2 linked regions of the Caenorhabditis elegans genome follow. The protein of the gene in region 2 purifies or fractionates together with the protein of the main gene of each other region. This does not show direct contact. Each region holds a gene or a part of one and is shown on either strand. Other genes may lie near its edges.

What was found.
Region 1: the proteins of hat-1 (region 2) and Y39A1A.22 fractionate together in Caenorhabditis elegans (co-fractionation; one large-scale study listed by BioGRID). This does not show direct contact.

Annotation. Positions count from the first base shown.
Region 1 is NC_003281.10:10,700,333-10,709,888, reverse strand, and holds Y39A1A.22 (Xenotropic and polytropic retrovirus receptor 1 homolog), read left to right. Parts: upstream 1-2,860; 5' UTR 2,861-2,933; intron 2,934-3,084; exon of another isoform or gene 3,085-3,085; coding exon of another isoform or gene 3,086-3,319; intron 3,320-3,348; coding exon 3,349-3,984; intron 3,985-4,583; coding exon 4,584-6,080; 3' UTR 6,081-7,276; downstream 7,277-9,556. Other genes in the region: W09D10.5 (N-acetylgalactosaminide beta-1,3-galactosyltransferase), read left to right, coding at 219-323, 921-1,195, 1,239-1,276; mrpl-12 (Mitochondrial Ribosomal Protein, Large), read right to left, coding at 1,495-1,745, 1,804-2,004, 2,053-2,122; Y39A1A.21 (ATP synthase subunit C lysine N-methyltransferase), read left to right, coding at 3,086-3,319, 7,364-7,476, 8,174-8,345, 9,044-9,097; Y39A1A.20 (uncharacterized protein), read left to right, coding at 9,330-9,427.
Region 2 is NC_003281.10:10,403,395-10,410,590, reverse strand, and holds hat-1 (Histone acetyltransferase type B catalytic subunit), read left to right. Parts: upstream 1-3,342; 5' UTR 3,343-3,349; coding exon 3,350-3,431; intron 3,432-3,476; coding exon 3,477-3,897; intron 3,898-3,944; coding exon 3,945-4,004; intron 4,005-4,083; coding exon 4,084-4,756; 3' UTR 4,757-5,343; downstream 5,344-7,196. Other genes in the region: M03C11.3 (PH domain-containing protein), read right to left, coding at 1-345, 782-975, 1,462-1,590, 1,994-2,229, 2,304-2,328; ATP-dependent DNA helicase chl-1, read left to right, coding at 5,355-5,692, 5,754-5,856, 6,322-6,435.

The DNA of each region.
Region 1 (9,556 bases), 300 kb from region 2:
ATATAAATATATCTCATTGCGAAAACTACAGTAAGTGGGCCCGTAAATCGACACAAGCGCTACAGTAGTCATTTAATGAATTACTGTAGTTTTCGCTGCGAGATATATTTATATTTTGCGCGTCAAATGTGTTGCGTAATATGCATTCCCAGAATTTAGTTTTCCCGTAATATTTAAATCAGTGGCCGAGCTTTTCCAAAAAACCAGCAATTTTCCAGCACATTATTCTCTTGGCTCTTCCCGCTGAGCAGCTTCAAGAAGATTTCCGTTCGTGGTGGAGTTGTGCTATCAAATCCAGCAATTGATAAGCTTTCTGCTTGCAAGTAAGATTTTTTTTAGTGCTACGTACCCAATACAGCGAATTTGACGCGCAAAAATAATTAAATTTCTGGGAACCCTACACCTTGTGTATCAAATTTTAATAAAATACTATTTACTTGGATTTTCGAGTCGCGAAATATTGCGCTAAAAATACGGTACCTGGTCTCGACACGACAAATTTTGGTCATATGCGAAAATATGTGCGCCTTTAAAGAGTACTGTAATTGAAAACTTTGGTTTCCGTGGAATTTTCATTAAAATCATTTATTTTCATAGTTTTTCTCACGATTGTTAATATGTATGTTTAAAAAATAAATCAGCAGAAAACAATGAAAAAGCGATAAAACTCCACAGCAGCACAAGTTTGAAATTTCACTAATCTTTAAAGGCGCAGACCTTTCAACATTAGCAAAAAAATGTCGTATCAAGACCGGGTACCGTAATTCTGGGGCAAATATCGCAAAGTTTTGCATCAGTGTAACAAATTTAATTTGCAAAATTACCGAAAGTTTTTGAAGACTAAAAAATCGAAAATCAGAGAATTACTTCTGGAAAACTCCCGAATAAATTCTAAAAATGTTTGATTTCATGATTTTCAGAGGATTTTTCTTCTCGCGAGCCTCGGATTTCGCTCTCTACGACTGCAGCGAGAAGTACGGTGTCCAGATAGCTGATCCATTTGATGAAGATGCTCTCCGACTATTCAACGATCTTCCACCAAAACAAATAATTGCGCCAGACTCGAAATTGTTCCGTTCAAGTCCCACAAAAGCCGGAAAATGTTCCGACCACGCGATCTCGTTCGGCCAATTATCCGAAAAGGATATGCGAGTTCTTCAATTCGGAATGTCGCTGAAAGTATTCGGACGCGGAGGTTTGTACCCATACAGGCTTCCGGTAATTTTCCCAAATTGCAGGTCTTGACACTTCTTCAAATGAGACTACCGATTTTTGATCTTCTCCAGCAGCTTCTCCAGAATCTATCCAATAGTATTTCTATCATGGGACGTGTATTTCTCTTCTTGCCGGGTGTAAATTTAATTATTTTTGAAATTAATTATTTTTCCATAAAATAAAATAAAACTTAACAAAAAGAAATGCTACACTATCTACGAAAAATTTGAAGAAAATGAGAACACAACAAATGAAAAGAGGGAAATATAGAACAAAAAATTAAACAATTTCAATGGTAGCTCCAGCCTTCTCCAGAATAGCCTTCAACTCATCGGCTTCTGCCTTTCCAAGATCCTCCTTAACATTTACCGGTGCGGTTTCCACAAACTTCTTGGCCTGAACGAGATTGAGGCCTGGAATGGCGTTACGGATCTCCTTGATGATTGCGATCTTCTTGGTATCATCGAATTTCGTTAATTTCACAGTGAATGTCATTTTTTGTGGAACGTCTGATGCGGCTTCCGCTTCGGCTGAAAAATAATGAAAATAAATAAATAATTTTATTAAACTATAATAAATAATGTTTACCCTGAGCGGCTGGAGCAGCAGCGGCAGCAGCCATCAATGGTTGATCTGGAATGTTGAGCCGCTTCTTGAGAGCCCAGTTAAGATCGGAGACGTCGAGCAGGCTGAGATTCGCGATTTCTTCAACCAACGAGCTGACTTTTGCGGAGATTGCTCTGTCTTCTGATGGCAATGGTGCCGGGCTTCCCTCGTTTAATGGAAGACCTGAAAATTTTGATATGATTTTGAGGAAAATCTTAATTTTCAGATTACCTGCGGCCTGGGAGTACTTCGCGCTGCTTCTGAGCACCTTGGAGATCGGTCGGAGTGTTCTGGACAACATATTTACCTGGAAGTTGAAAGGTAATTTAGTTTTTAATCGGAATAAGAGAGAAATATAAGTTTGAAGAAACTTTTGTTTATGTAATATATTTTTAGCTAAAAAATTAACAAATCGATACCCGAAAAACCTAATTTTAAAATAAAAATCATAAAGAAACGCAAAAAATTAGCGAAAATTGAGGAAAATTAAAAGTTTTGCAATGTTTACCGACTTAACATCTTCTTTACAAGATCTTTAACAATCTTCAATAGAAAAACTCTAAGAAACCACGAAAAATTAGCAAAACTGAAATTCCAAAATTGCATATCTTTATAAAGTAAACCCCCTTTTTAAAAAACGAATTTTAACCTGGGTTTTGGTGATTTTCAACGTCGGAACCATGCAAATTACGACAATTTTATATAAAAATTCAGAAATTTGGTTGGAAAATACGGTGGGAAACGCAAAAAATTAATAAAAATCGCACAGAAATTGCAGAAAATAAATCCGACCCATCCGAAAACGCGCCAGTAGCCACTCGTTTGCGCAATCATCAACTGCTTGCGCACTTCCGGTGCACTGAGCTCCCGATTTTTAGTCGCATGTGCCCTTATCGAATTTCGTTGTCTATCTCTTTTTCGCGAAAAGTACGAATTTAAATTTTGATTCTGTCGAGTGCAATTTATGCGTAAATCGATATATTTCCAGTGTTTTGCACTGTTTTAGGCCTGAAAATCGTTTTAAACATTTTTTTTCTGTTTTCAGGTAGAAAATTTGAATCGTTGATGAGAAACTTCATCTTATTCCGAAGAAAATCGATTGAAGAATAAAGGTGGGTATGAATTTTAATTTTAAATATTCAAAAACAATAATCCTTTGAAAAATAAAGATAATTTAAACTTAAAAATAATAAATTTTAAAACAAATAAAAAATCATGATTTAAATCAATGAGTGTTCCCCTCGAGATTGTGTTTTTTTGCAGTATGGGCATGAACACAGGTCTGGTGATTGCCGGTGTGGCTGGCGCAACGGCGCTCGCCATCTCGGCGGCCGCAATTCCGTTCGTGGCGCCCGCTCTGCGACGCGTCTGCATTCCGTACGTCCCAGCAACGACGGAGCAGCTCGCGAACGTCTCCCGCGCACTTTCACTCGCCACGAGCAGCAACAGCAACAAGAAGGGAACGCTCATTGATTTAGGCTCCGGCGATGGCCGTGTTGTAAGTTATTCCCATTTTCCCGATTTTAGATGAAGTTCGGCGAGCAACTAGCGAGCCACTTGACGCCCGAGTGGCGGAAACAATACATTGACTATGAGCGGCTCAAAAATCTATTATACGATGATATGATGGAGGTTCCCGCCGACGATGACCGCCGAGAAGAGCACATTTCCCGGCTCGACGAGAAATTTTTCAACGAGTGCGACCAAGAGCTCACCAAGATCAACCTATTCTTCTCGCAAAAAATCGCTGAAGGACAGGGAAAACATCACGAGCTTCAAACCGAACTACAAGTGTTCAAGGATGTTCTTGGGTCTCGCAGCGATACCACAGGGATCCGTAGAAGGTTCGGAGGAAAAGACAAATTCCATAAGGAGACCACACGGAATGAGCAGCAGCTGAAACTCGCATTCTCCGAGTTTTATCTTTCTCTGGTGCTGGTTCAGAACTTTCAGCAATTGAATGCTACCGGATTTCGGAAGATTTTAAAGAAACACGACAAGCTCACTGGCAACGAACGAGGACTCGACTGGCGGATTAATAAAGTGGAAAAATCGTCGTTTTTCTTGAATCGAGAAATTGAAACTCTGATCACAAATGTGGAAACCAGTGTAATTAATGATTTGGAGGCTGGAAATCGACAAGCTGGAATGAAGAGGCTTAAGGTTCGAAATTTCGCTGAAAAAATTGGAAAATTGATTATTTTATACGAAACAGAATTAACTTTAGAAAACCCAATGAAAAATTGAATTTTCGAGCGATTTTCAGTTTTTTTTTTCGGAGATTTTTTGAAAAAAAATCTAAGAAAATGCTGAATAGTAGTTTTAAGTTTTTTTGAAAATAAATAATAAAAAATTTCAATAAAATGAATTTTTTCTGAAAAAAAAATTTCTAATCAAAATAAAAATTTCCAGGGAAAAATTGTGATATTTTCAATTTTTGTTTAAAAAAAAAAGAAAATACAAAAACCTGACTGAAATCGTTGAAATAATTTTTAAAAAAATTGAAAACCTAGAAAATTATCAATATTTGATCTAAAATCGAATAAATTTTTAAAATAGTAAGGAAATTAATTTTTTTTAAATCGAAAAATTCGAGAAAAACACTCGAATCTTTCAAAAATTAAAAATAAAATAAAAAAATATTCAGTTTTTTCCGAATAAAAATTTCTTTAAAAAATGTGAATTTCAAATAAAAAATTTACTTAGAAACTAAAATAAAATTTAAAAAAAAACCGGAATGAAGAAAAAATCGAATTTTCCAGGTACCACCACTCTCGGAGAAGCAGAAGCCTCTCACCACCTTCTCCCTGGGCCTCTTCATCGGTGCGAGCATCATCCTGCTCCTTGCAATACTTCTAACATGGATCGCCTCCCCAGCACGACCTCAAGAACCAAAATGGGTAGCCGTTCGTTTATTCCGAGGACCACTACTTCTCTTCCTATCAATCTTCCTTTGTGGTGTGAATATGGCTGGTTGGGCTGCTGCTGGAGTCAATCACGTTCTGATCTTTGAAGTAGATCCCAGGAATCATCTCTCATATCAAACTCTGATGCAAATCGCATCCTTTATGATTATGCTGTGGTCTTTTGCAGTTCTCGCCTATCTATATGCTCATATGCTCCATATTCCACCATTCGCACCTCCATTAGCACTAATGGTGGTTTGTCTGATTCTTCTTCTGAATCCAATCGCCAAACCCGACTCGGTATTCCACAGAAATTCTCGATTCTGGCTTCTGAAACATTGCTACAAGTGCTTCACATCACCATTCCATTTCGTCACATTCACCGATTTCTGGCTTGGAGATCAAATGAACTCACTGACCACCGCATTCCTAGACTTTCAGTACTTTGTGTGCTTTTACGCTACAGAAGTTGACTACTCGAATGGGTGGATTGAAGTGAAGGGAATCAACTCTACCACTGGATCGGTTCCCTGGGGAAGTGTCGAGTTGTCGAATGGAAAGGATCAATGTGCTTCTGCCGCAGGTCTTCGGTCCCTCATGTCGATAATTCCGGCAATGATCCGTTTTCTGCAGTGCCTCAGACGTTATAGAGATACAAAACGAGTACATCCACATTTAGTGAATGCTGGAAAGTATTCCACGACCTTCTTTGTAGTTGCCTGTGGAGCCCTGAACAAGTACTACGAGGCTACGGATCCTAACACCACTTCGATCTTTTTCTACATTTGGATTCTGTCCTATATAATGTCCTTTACCTACACCTTCCTTTGGGATATCTTCATGGATTGGGGATTAATCGATCCAAGGGCTCCAAAGGAGGCAAGATTCTTGCGTGAAGAAATGATCTATGGTAGTAAATGGTATTACTATATGGCTATCGCTCAGGATTTTGTGCTCCGATTGGCTTGGGTGCTCAACGTCTCGCTCGGAGAAGCTTGGACTCTTGACTCGGACTTTTTGACGACAGTAACCGCACCATTCGAAGTGTTCCGTCGGTTTATCTGGAACTATTTCCGACTTGAAAATGAGCATGTCAACAATTGTGGTCAATTCCGCGCGGTGCGTGATATCTCGGTGAAGCCGATTCGAAAAGGAGATTTGGAGTCACTGCTATCGAAAATGGATCAAATGGATGGGGTCACGCATCGCGGACAGGATCTCATGGAGCGTGTCAAGAAGCAGAAGAAGTCGGCGAAGGCCTCAAGACAGCTTCTTCGTAAGAATCGGTTCAATCGGATGATTGCCGCTGCTCCGGTCGTCACTACTACTTTCATCGACACTACTAACACCTAATCGGGAGGTTTAGCGGGCAAAATATCAGGAGTTTTCGAGGCTACACGGAAACTATACTGAAATCATAGATCTAGTTTTCGTAGATGTTTTCTCGTGTTACTTCGGAAATTTCCCTATTTTCTGCCCCTAAGCCTCTTTTAAATAGGTCACATTGACCTCTAGAGCCTCTATGTGAGCAAAAATGTCTGCCTGCCTGCCTGCTCACCTTTTGTAGGCAGGCGTGTAGGTATTTATGCCTACGTGGAAGGCCTACCCGTCCCCTTTCCCCTTCCCCCAGCGTGTGCACGGTTCACTTAACACAATTTTTTTTCGGTTATTACTTTTTTTTTCAAATATCTGTTGTTGTTTTCCCCCAATTATCAGGGTTTTTCTGGGTGGGAAATAGCTGGCAGGCCACGCCCACTTATTGGCAAGTCTGCCGCGCGGAATTGAAATTTTTAAGTTTTATATAATTTTGAGCTTTTTCAGTGTTGGAAATTGCTGGAAAATCGGAAATTGAAAAATTACAAAAATGCAAATTTTTTGAAATTCCACGCGACATATTTGCCAGTAAATGGGCGGAGTCTAACTTGAGGCTAATGCAATTTTGCTCTGTTGCACGACTTTTTTCGGGGGTTTTCTTGACTTAAAAAAAAATCGTGAAAAAAAACAATATGTCAGAAAATTTGAATTTCCGAAAAAATAATAATAAAAAAATAGAAAAAAACGAGAAAAATCGCGAAATTTTGCATCTGTGCCAATTTCTCTGTTTCAGGCCGATCAGCGATTCGTTCCGCCCACTCTTGAACCAATCAGCGTCTTCGAACTCCGCCCACTCTATCTGATTGGTTCAAAAATGGGCGGAGCGATGCGCTGGTGGTCTGAAACAGAAATTTTGAAAAATCTATTTATATATATTTTTTACATCGCAACTTTTTTTCAGTTTCTTTGTGATATTTCTGTAGCTTGTAGCAAAAACGCTTTGAGATCCTGAAATTTGTGCGATAGAGCACAATCGCATCATTTCCTCCAATTTCTCAACCCAAAAACACGCCATTCCATTTTTTCATTCCATCGTCCCCGCCACAAAGCTTTAGTGCTCATCAATGACGTCACTTTCATGTTTCTAGTCCCTCTTTCTCCGAGTTGTTTTTCAATGTTTTCGCAATTTTTTTAAAAGATTTTTAGAGAGTTGATATATATATATATAATAAATTGTGTATTAAAGAAGATAATATGTGTGTTTGATTGCAGTTACTAACGTAGTAAATAGACTAAAAACTGACTAAAATGAGCATTTACAGGTGCTTCAATGTGCCAGGGAAGGGTTCAACAGCACGGGAGTGGAACTGAATTCGATCCTCGTCGCCTATTCAAAATACCGTTCAATAAGGGAGGGATTGGGCAAAGAAACTAGGTTATTTTTCAGCTTAAAATCAGAAATTTCTAAAAATTCCAAAAAAAAAATTTGAAATACTCTAGAAATTCCTTTTTTTTGAGCATTCACTCAAAAAAAATGTGCACAAAATTTTCAGAAATGTTTTTGAAAATTCTGTAAGATCCTAGAAATTCGAAAAAATTCCAAAAAACAATTCGGAATTTCAATTTTCGAAAATCCGCTTGAAATTTCTGCGAAATTCGAATAAAATCTAAGTTTTAATCCAAAAAAAAAACTTTTTAAAAATTTATTTAAAATGTAAAAAGGACTTTTTGTGCAAAATTCGAATAAAAATTTTAAAAAATTCGAACAAAAATTAATTTTAAAATAATAATTTAAAAAAGATTTTTATTGGAATTTTACTTTAAAAAAGTCCTTAAAAATCCTGCGAAATTCGAAAAAAAAAATTAAGTTTTAATTCAAATTTATAAAAAATTGACTTTTTTGCGAAAAATTCGAATTAAAATTAATTATTATTAATTTTATTAATTTCAAAATTAATAATTTTTAATTTTTATTCGAATTTGCGCAAAACTCAATTTCAATGCTATTTTAAATTGATTGAGACCTGAATTTTATTGAAATTTTTCAGAAAAAAAAGAAGTTTTTTGGAAAACATTTAAAAAATTTACATTTTTAGAAAACCTAAATCTTTAAAAATAAAAATAAATTTCAGATTTATGCGCAAGAATATCTTCAAAACTGATCTCAATCCATATCAAACCGCAGTTATCTTTGGAGCCGAGAGTTTAATGGGTGATTTGGTTCCAAAACTCAGTGAAATGCGATCAAACACAAATCTTCTTGCGTGTCGATTCCCGTTACCAGAGAATGATGCATGGAAATTGGTAAGAATTGGCTGAAAAATTAATTTTCATCAAAAAAAAAACCCGGATATTGGACCTCAAAACGAAAAAAAGTCATTACAAAAATAATTTTTTTTTCGAATTTTGCCAAAAAGAAAGTTGAAAAAAAATGTAATACATTTTTTTAGAAAAAATATTGAAAAAAATCTAAATTTTTTTTCAAATTTATGGTTAAAAAATTAAAACCTCACTGTAAATTTAAAAAATCGAATAAAACTGATTATTACATCATTTTACTGATTTTGTTTGAAAAAGTGTGCAGGATCGCAAGGAAATTTGAAAAATGAACAAAAAATAGAAAAAAAACCCCAAAAATGTAAAAATAATAATTTTAAAAAACAATCTCTAAACAAAAAGATAAAAAATTTTCAATTAAAAAAATTTTGTAAAAACTATTTTTTTTTTAACAAAAAATGCTGTAAAAACTGAAATAACGATGATTTAAAAAAAAAAAAAATCCTTTAAAAAATGTTTTTTTTTGGAGAATTCGAAGTTTTCTAAACATTGAAATTTTCTATTAAAAAAAACTGCAAAAAATTTATGCTTAAAAAGTTCTCAAATTAAAGTGAACATATTTGAACAAATAATTTCATTAATTAATAAAAAAAAATTGTAAAAACTGAGAAAAAAATTAATTATTTTTTAAATAAAAGTTTTTTTTAAAATTTCATTTTTTCCAGGAGCATCAAATCGGAGAAGGAATCGACGCTGTTTGGGTCTACAAGAGAAACTGAAGGGATCTGATAAGCCATTTGTGACGAAGTATAATAATTTTTAGTTCTTTTTTTTTAATTTTTAGATTTTTCGCTCAATTTTGTTGTCTGTCGTCCTTTTCTTTAAATCTAAATTTTCATATCAAAACCGATTTTGACATTTTTAATCAACAATTCAATTTCGAGATTTTCCGATGAAATATCCCTTTAACCTACCGAGATATTCTGAATTCCAGGAAAATTTTGTTTCAGAATGTTTTTAAAAGCGTCGAACAGCTTTCTTGTGAGCTTCAGCCGCACTCGAGCCACATATTATCAACAGAATCAGAGGTTTCCGCCAGCTTTTGTTCGGTTTGTTTTAATTTTTTTGAAAAATAGACACTTTTCTGCAGAAAATTTCGGAAATTTTTATTCAAAAAATAAATAAAATAGAAACAACTTTTTTGTAGTTATTTAATATAAAATTAAAAATTTTTAAAA
Region 2 (7,196 bases):
ATTCCCTCAGTGTGAAGTGTTCCTCGATGCTTCCTGAGTAATATCGATGTCTGTGTATGCGAGAGACCTTCAGTTTGTGGTAGTAAATGCACATAATCCGGTCCACGAGACTTTATTATTCTATCCACCAGAGCTCGTCGTCGCGTCATCTCGTGATCCTTTCGACCGCTTCCACCCAATGGAGAAGCTAACGAGCTCGGCGGTCGACTTGTCGATGTGTTCGGGGCTCGTTGAGCTCCAGGAGGAAGATTTCGGAAGGATAAGGGATTCGTGAATTGACTGTTGGATTTGTTGCGACCCATTAGGCTTGGTGATGATGGTGCAGAGTCTCCAGATGACATTCTCCTGCAAAAATTGACACAATTTTCGCAGCCTTTGGGTTTTTTTTCTCGTATTAGAAAATTCAAGAAGCTTCACAGAGGCCGGTAGTTTTTATGAAATTTATTGTAAAATTTCAGAAAATCGCAGATTAAACTCATAATTCTACACGTTTAAGAATTTTCGATCATTTTTGGTAGATTTTAATTCTCAAGAAGTGGAAAATGCTTTTTAAAAATGCGCGGAAACCAGTATGAAATTGTTTTTTTTTGCTATAAAATTTCTTAAAACCACATTTTTTCAGAAATCAGCGGATTTTGTGGAATTTAATGTAAAATATAGAAAATCGAAAGCTTTTCCAAAAAATCAAAATTTTTTTTGAAATTACTGTCGACACTTTTGGCACTTTTTTAAACATTTCCGCAACAAAACGGCTATTTTTTTTTTGAAAAAAAAAACTCACTGATATCCATTATGCAAATTTCCAGCAGGACTCAACAGCACCTGCGTATTCGTGTTACTCGGCGGTCCCATGATAATTGGTGCTCGCTGAGCCACACGAATTGTCGGTTGTGGATAAGGTTTTTTTCGTGCTGTTGTACCGCCGTGGGATCCATTGCTTGATGGTTGTTCAGAGTCGCGGAAATTTGTTGAGGTCTGGAAATTAATGAGAATTCACGAACAGCCGGTTTAAATTTTGAAATACGGCTTTAATTTAAAAAAAAGGATTTCTCAGGTATTCTCTTGATATTTTTTCAGCCATTTTTTAAATGATTTTCACCAAAAACTTCGAAATTCAATTTTCATCATGAAAATGTCGAAATTTGTCAACGTTTTTACTCTAAAAATCAAGAAAAATCCTTTTTTTAACCTATTCGTGCAGATATCTACAGAAAATAATGAAATTTTCAGAGTTTCAGTCATTTTTATTATTAAAAACCTCGATTTTTAAAATTCTACAGGTTTTCCATGAATTTTCGCAATTTTTAAAATTTTCTCCGAAAAAAATTATCAAATATTCAATTTTAATCTATTTTTACAGATATTGTTGGAAAATTATGAATTTTTTCATAGTTTTTCAAGAGAAGTCGCCTAAAAAGCTGAAATTGAGCAAGTTTTCGAGATTTTTCACAAAAAACTCACCAAATTCGGCTTCGTGTACTCGTTGACATTTATGTGTAACGGAGAGAGTGTTTGACTGGTTGGAACACCGACAGACGTCGATGCGACAAATGATGACTTTAGTTGAGCTTCTGACGCTGCAGCGGCGGCCTGAAAATTGAGAAATTGAGAAAAACAATAGGAAAATCGATTAAAATGTGCATTCATACATGTTTTTAATAAGTTTTTTTTACAAAATCGTTTTTAAAAATCTATTTAATGGAAAAATTAGTTTCAAAACATGTTTCTAATATATTTTTTCGACTAAATTAAATTAAAATCATGTTTTGATACATTTTATCGAGAAATTAGGTTAAAATCATTTTTAAAATTCTTTTTTTTTGACAAAATTGGTTGGAAATCATGTTTTTAGATTTTTTGGACAAAATTAGATTAAAACCTTTTTTAATCCATTTTTTCAACAAAACTAACTTAAAATTTAATTTTTATTTTATTTCTCCACAAAATCAGTTAGAAATCCAGTTTCTAGGGTTAAAAAACGCCAATTTTTTACCTCAATCTCTCGTTCATCGTCATTTGTATCACGTTGCTCAACAAATTGCGATAATCCTCCTCCATTTGAAGAAGAAGACGACGCATCGAACAATGAACGATCATGTTCCATACCAGGGAACGAGTGATGTGAGGCAGGAATTGTGCCACCTATTATCACCATACAATCCGATGGGATACTTCTGCTGATGTTGCTCGTATTTGAAAACGTTGTTGGTCCGAGGTTTTCCTTCAATTCTGATATGGATTAGAGGACATTTCACATGGAAAATCCGTGAAATTTCAGAAATTTTCAGTGGAATTTAATTTACCTGTTCTTGTCGAACGCTCATGCATTATTTGATGGTCTTCCCATCAACTTGTTGCTTGGAATCTTCTGAAAATTCGATTTTTTAAAAATGATTTTTGACAATTTTGAGCGGATTTGTGAGAGAAAATTCGATTGAAAAAAAATATTTTTACATTAAAACCGTTGAAAAAACCAATTCTTTTTGATATTTTTCAAAAAATTCCAATGAAATTTGGTTGTTTTCAACAAAAATATAACGGAAAAATGGTAAAATAGCAAAACTTTTATATAAATAGGAAAAATTTATAAATTTTGCGATGAAAAATCTCACAACGAGTTTTAAAAAACTTAATTTCTGATTTTAACAAAGTTTTAATTGAACAAAACAACAAAAATTCTCGAAAATCCGCCGAACTATGGAAATTAACTCTTTTTTATCTAATTATCGTGAGAAAACCGCGAAACCCGGGCAATTAGAGCAAAATAATGCGGTTTTGCGCCATTTTTCACAATAAAAATGAGACATTTTACGGGGAAAACGCTTGAAATTCGATATTTTTGTTTGTTTATAATTTTTATGATGCAACTAAACTTCACGAATCAACTTGATCAATCAATTTATCCGTTTTGGGATGAAAATTCCGGGAGATAAGCGAAAAATTTCTGAAAAATCGATAAAAATTCACCCGGAGGCGTGAAAAACAGCACGGATCCATCAGAAGATCCCTGGCAACGTGCCAACTCGCACGGCGTATTTCGAAAAAAGCGCGACGAGAGAGTGTGTGGCCGTGAGAGACGCGCGACACTCAGACAGTCGGAGAGAACGCCATCTCTTATGAGAGGTTGCGAAAGTCAACGGGTCTCGCCGCGAAGAGACACTTTTGTGTCGATTTACGAAGTGAGAAAGCCCGCGGGAAACTTTTTTAAATTTTATTCTTTTATTTTCGTCGGAATTCCTTCATTTTTTCTCATTTTCCACGCAAAATCGGTAAATAAATTGATTAAATATCGTCTTGTTTCGCGATTTTCAAGGTTCAATGGCGTTTTCAACTCTTTAACAGTTTCAGCATGGTTATGGAGGACGTCACGAATGTCAATCGCAATCGGAGATACATTTCCGACGGACTTGCTGTCGTTAAAATGACATTTTGTAAGAGTTTAACCGAATTTTCGCTTGAAAGTTCCCATTTTTCAGTAAAAAACATGCAAGAAATCAGTACTGCGCCACGCTACGAACCAGAGATGGTCTATCAGCATTTCGGAGATGAGGAGACAATCTTCGGCTACGAAGATCTCGAGGTTACCATCCATCACACAGCTCAAACCCTCTACAGCTACATAAACGTGAGCTATTCCTCAAAAGCGAAAAACGAAAACGGACTGGAGGCCGATGACGTCATTGATAAGCTGGTTCATCCAGACGTTCGTCCGAATGTTCTGGTTTCGGGAAAAGAAGAATTCCAGCAGAAGCTCATCAAACAGAAGGATTTCAAGCCTTTCGGTGAGATGGTACACAAGTTTGAGCTGAAAGGAAAGAGCTACGAGGTCTACAAAGTCGCCGAGCAAACCGAAGAGTTCAACCTTTTCCTAGAAAGAATCCAGACTCTCGGCATGTTGTGAGTGCTTAAAAAATAAGGATTTTCCTACAAAATTTTTTTTTCAGCTTCATCGAGTGCTGCTCACTGACAGATAACACTGAAGACAATTGGCTTCACTATTTTATGTAAGTTGAGAAGATTTCGCGGCGAATTCCAGAAATTACAAAAAATCGAACGCATTTCAAATATTTTTCAATTTTCCAGCTACGAACGCTGCGACACCGGTGAAGGAGATGGAAGTACTGTGGCCAACGTGGCTGGCTACGCGACACTCTTCAAATTCTACAACTACATTGACAGGATCCGTCCACGAATTGCACAGATGCTATTGCTCCCTCAATACAGAAAATCTGGAATTGGAGCCAGTTTCATGGAATCTTTCCTGCGAGATCTTCGTGCCTCTCCAGAAGTTTTCGACGTAACCGTCGAGTCTCCCGGAGATCAGTTCGTCAGCCTCCGTGACTATGTGGATTGTGTCAACTGCATGACACTGCGGGAATTTGCACCGGAGAATCTCAAGAGGGGATACTCGGACAAAATGCGTCAGGCCGCACTGGAAAAGCTCAAGATTTCCAGACAACAAGCCCGTCGAGTCTATGAAATTTTGCGTTATCGTGCTACAAATAAGAAGGATAAAGAAGAGCTGAAAGCGCAGAGAATCGATGTGAAACGTCGGTTGTATGCACCAATGAAGAAATCGGATCAGGACTGGAAGCGTCTGAATCTCGCGTTGACACCCGATGAGCTTCGACAAGCGGCCTGTGGACAAATGGATGAGGAAACCAAGTTCTCGACGCTCTCACAGAATTATGATCGGCTTATGGAGGCCTATCAAAAAACTATTGATCGAATTGAGCAGCATCCAAGCATTTTTTAATCGTTGTATCTGTATCTTATTTTAATTTGAAATTACATGTGGGATTTTTGTATTTTTTTTAAAGCTAATTACCACGAAATTCGTCTAAATTTGCTGTAAATTTGCAAAATTCCCTTGCCGTTATTACCCATACGCGAAATTTTGCGCCAAAAGTACGGTATCCGGTCTCGAAGAGAAAAATGTATGATAAATGCGAAAAAGTGTGCGCCTTTAACGATTTTTATCAGGTTTTCATAGTTTTTCCCAGCATTTGTTAAAGTTTTTTTGGGTTTTGATTGTGATCTACGAAAAATCGACGAAAATCCGCAATAGCAAAAGTTTGAAGCTACAGTACTCTTTAAAGGCGCACAAATTTTCGCGTTTAACAAACATGTTTCGTTGCGAGACCAGGCACCGTATTTTTGGCGTGAAAATCGCTTTGGGTCCTATTTGACTTATTGTGAATGTTTCATGAATTTTTCCGCTCTCTAAACTCTCAGCTAAAAATCGAATTCCCAGTTGAAAATCCCGAATATATTTTTATCTTCTTATATATTATTCTTCAATTACAAAAAAAAAACTCACCGAAATAAATGATCTCTCACTCTATCCCAGCAGAATGGACGAATTCTCATTTCCATTTCAACCATACGACATTCAACTCAATTTGATGCGAGAAATCCGCCAATGCATTGAACAACGGAAAATTGGCATTTTCGAATCTCCAACAGGCACCGGAAAGTCGCTCAGCGTGTTGTGCTCGACGATGACGTGGCTGGAAGCTGAAGAACTACGAATTTCGACTGATTTGAGCACACGGCTCGGGGAGGTTCACACGAAAATCACGGAATGCGATAAAATCACCACCGCCGACAATTGGGAGACGGCAGTTCGTGAGAAAATGCGAGCTCAAGACGTAGAGACGGAGATTTTGGAGCAAATTCAGAGTCGGGAAAGGTGTTGGAAATTGAATAATTATTCTTTTTTAATTTTTTTTTAAATGAAAAAAATCATTCAGATTGCAGTCACGAATCGATCAAGCCCGGCGAGGAATGGTCGAGGTCTCCAGAAAGAGAAAAGCCCCGGCCAGGGATACGGATCAGTTTCTCGAACCTCAAGATGTAATAATTGAACTTTTATCCGGAAATTCACATGTGGCTGACCGTTTTTTCGGAAAATTTCAAGATTTCTGACTAGAACCTGGCTTTTTTTTTCTGGAAAAACCTTGAAATACGCAAAAATTCCAAATTTTTAAATACAAACCTTCAGTATTGCTAATTTTTTGAGAAATGTGAAAAAATGTTAACAGTATTATATAGCAAGATAGATATAGAATAGATTCCACAATATGAATAGATACACAATAGAATAGTTACATAGTAATACATAGAATAGACACTTGATGCCTCACTTTAAAGGCGCACGCTGTTTTCTGAGTGGGTCTCGCCACGATCCCAGCCACAGTAGTCGCTACAAATTTGAAGTTTCATAAATTGAATATGCCAGGTTTTCAAGAAAATGTTATTCTAGAAGTTTCTATTATAGAAATAATACAGAAATATCAAAATTCAAAATAAAATTTCCAGGAAGCCGCCCCATCGGAAGAATACAATAACGACGAGAAAAGTGAGAAACAGCGGGATTCCGATTTTTTCGATGATGTCGATGAAGAAGAGGAGAAGCCACTGAAATGTCTGAAAGTACAGAATTTATTTCAATATTTCGGAAAGTGCAATCGCGCTCCATAGCCAAATGAAAGTGCAATTCAAACTTTTTCAAGCATTTTTGTGACAGTAACTGTATATCATTAAAAATTGGAAAATCTTGGGTTTTACCGCCAATACCTAACGAGACCCATGTTTCGGGGGCAGAGCGTTTTTATTTTTTATTTGGCTATGGAGCGCGATTGCACTTTCATCTCAAAAGTCGCATATAGCTGTCATATTATTACAGGAACAAAAAATTCTTAGAATGCGTATTGGGCAACATATTTGACGCGCAAAATATTCCGACGCGAAAACTACAGTAATCCTTTGGATGACTACTGTAGCGCTTGTGTCGATTTACGGGCAATATTTTTGAAATTAATTTCTTTTCAAAAAGTTACAACGGCTCTCAATTTTCTTTAATTTTTCGTTTTTAAAAATCAATAAATAAAAGGTTTTTGTAAATCGACACAGGAGCTACAACAGCAATTTAGAGGATTACTGTAGTTTTCGCTTTGAGATATTTTGCGCGTCAAATATGTTGCCCAATACGCATTCTCAGAGTTTCGTGTTACCGTAATACGTCTTTTTTTTTTTTAATGAAAGTTGTCTGAAAAAAATAATCGAAATTAAGTCGGAGAATTTTCAATTTACCGAACAAATTTTTTTAAATGAAAATTTGGTTTTTTTGTAAATTTTCAAAACTGCATTAAAATTTTTTTAATTGAAAACTGAAAAATCAATAATTTTTTATT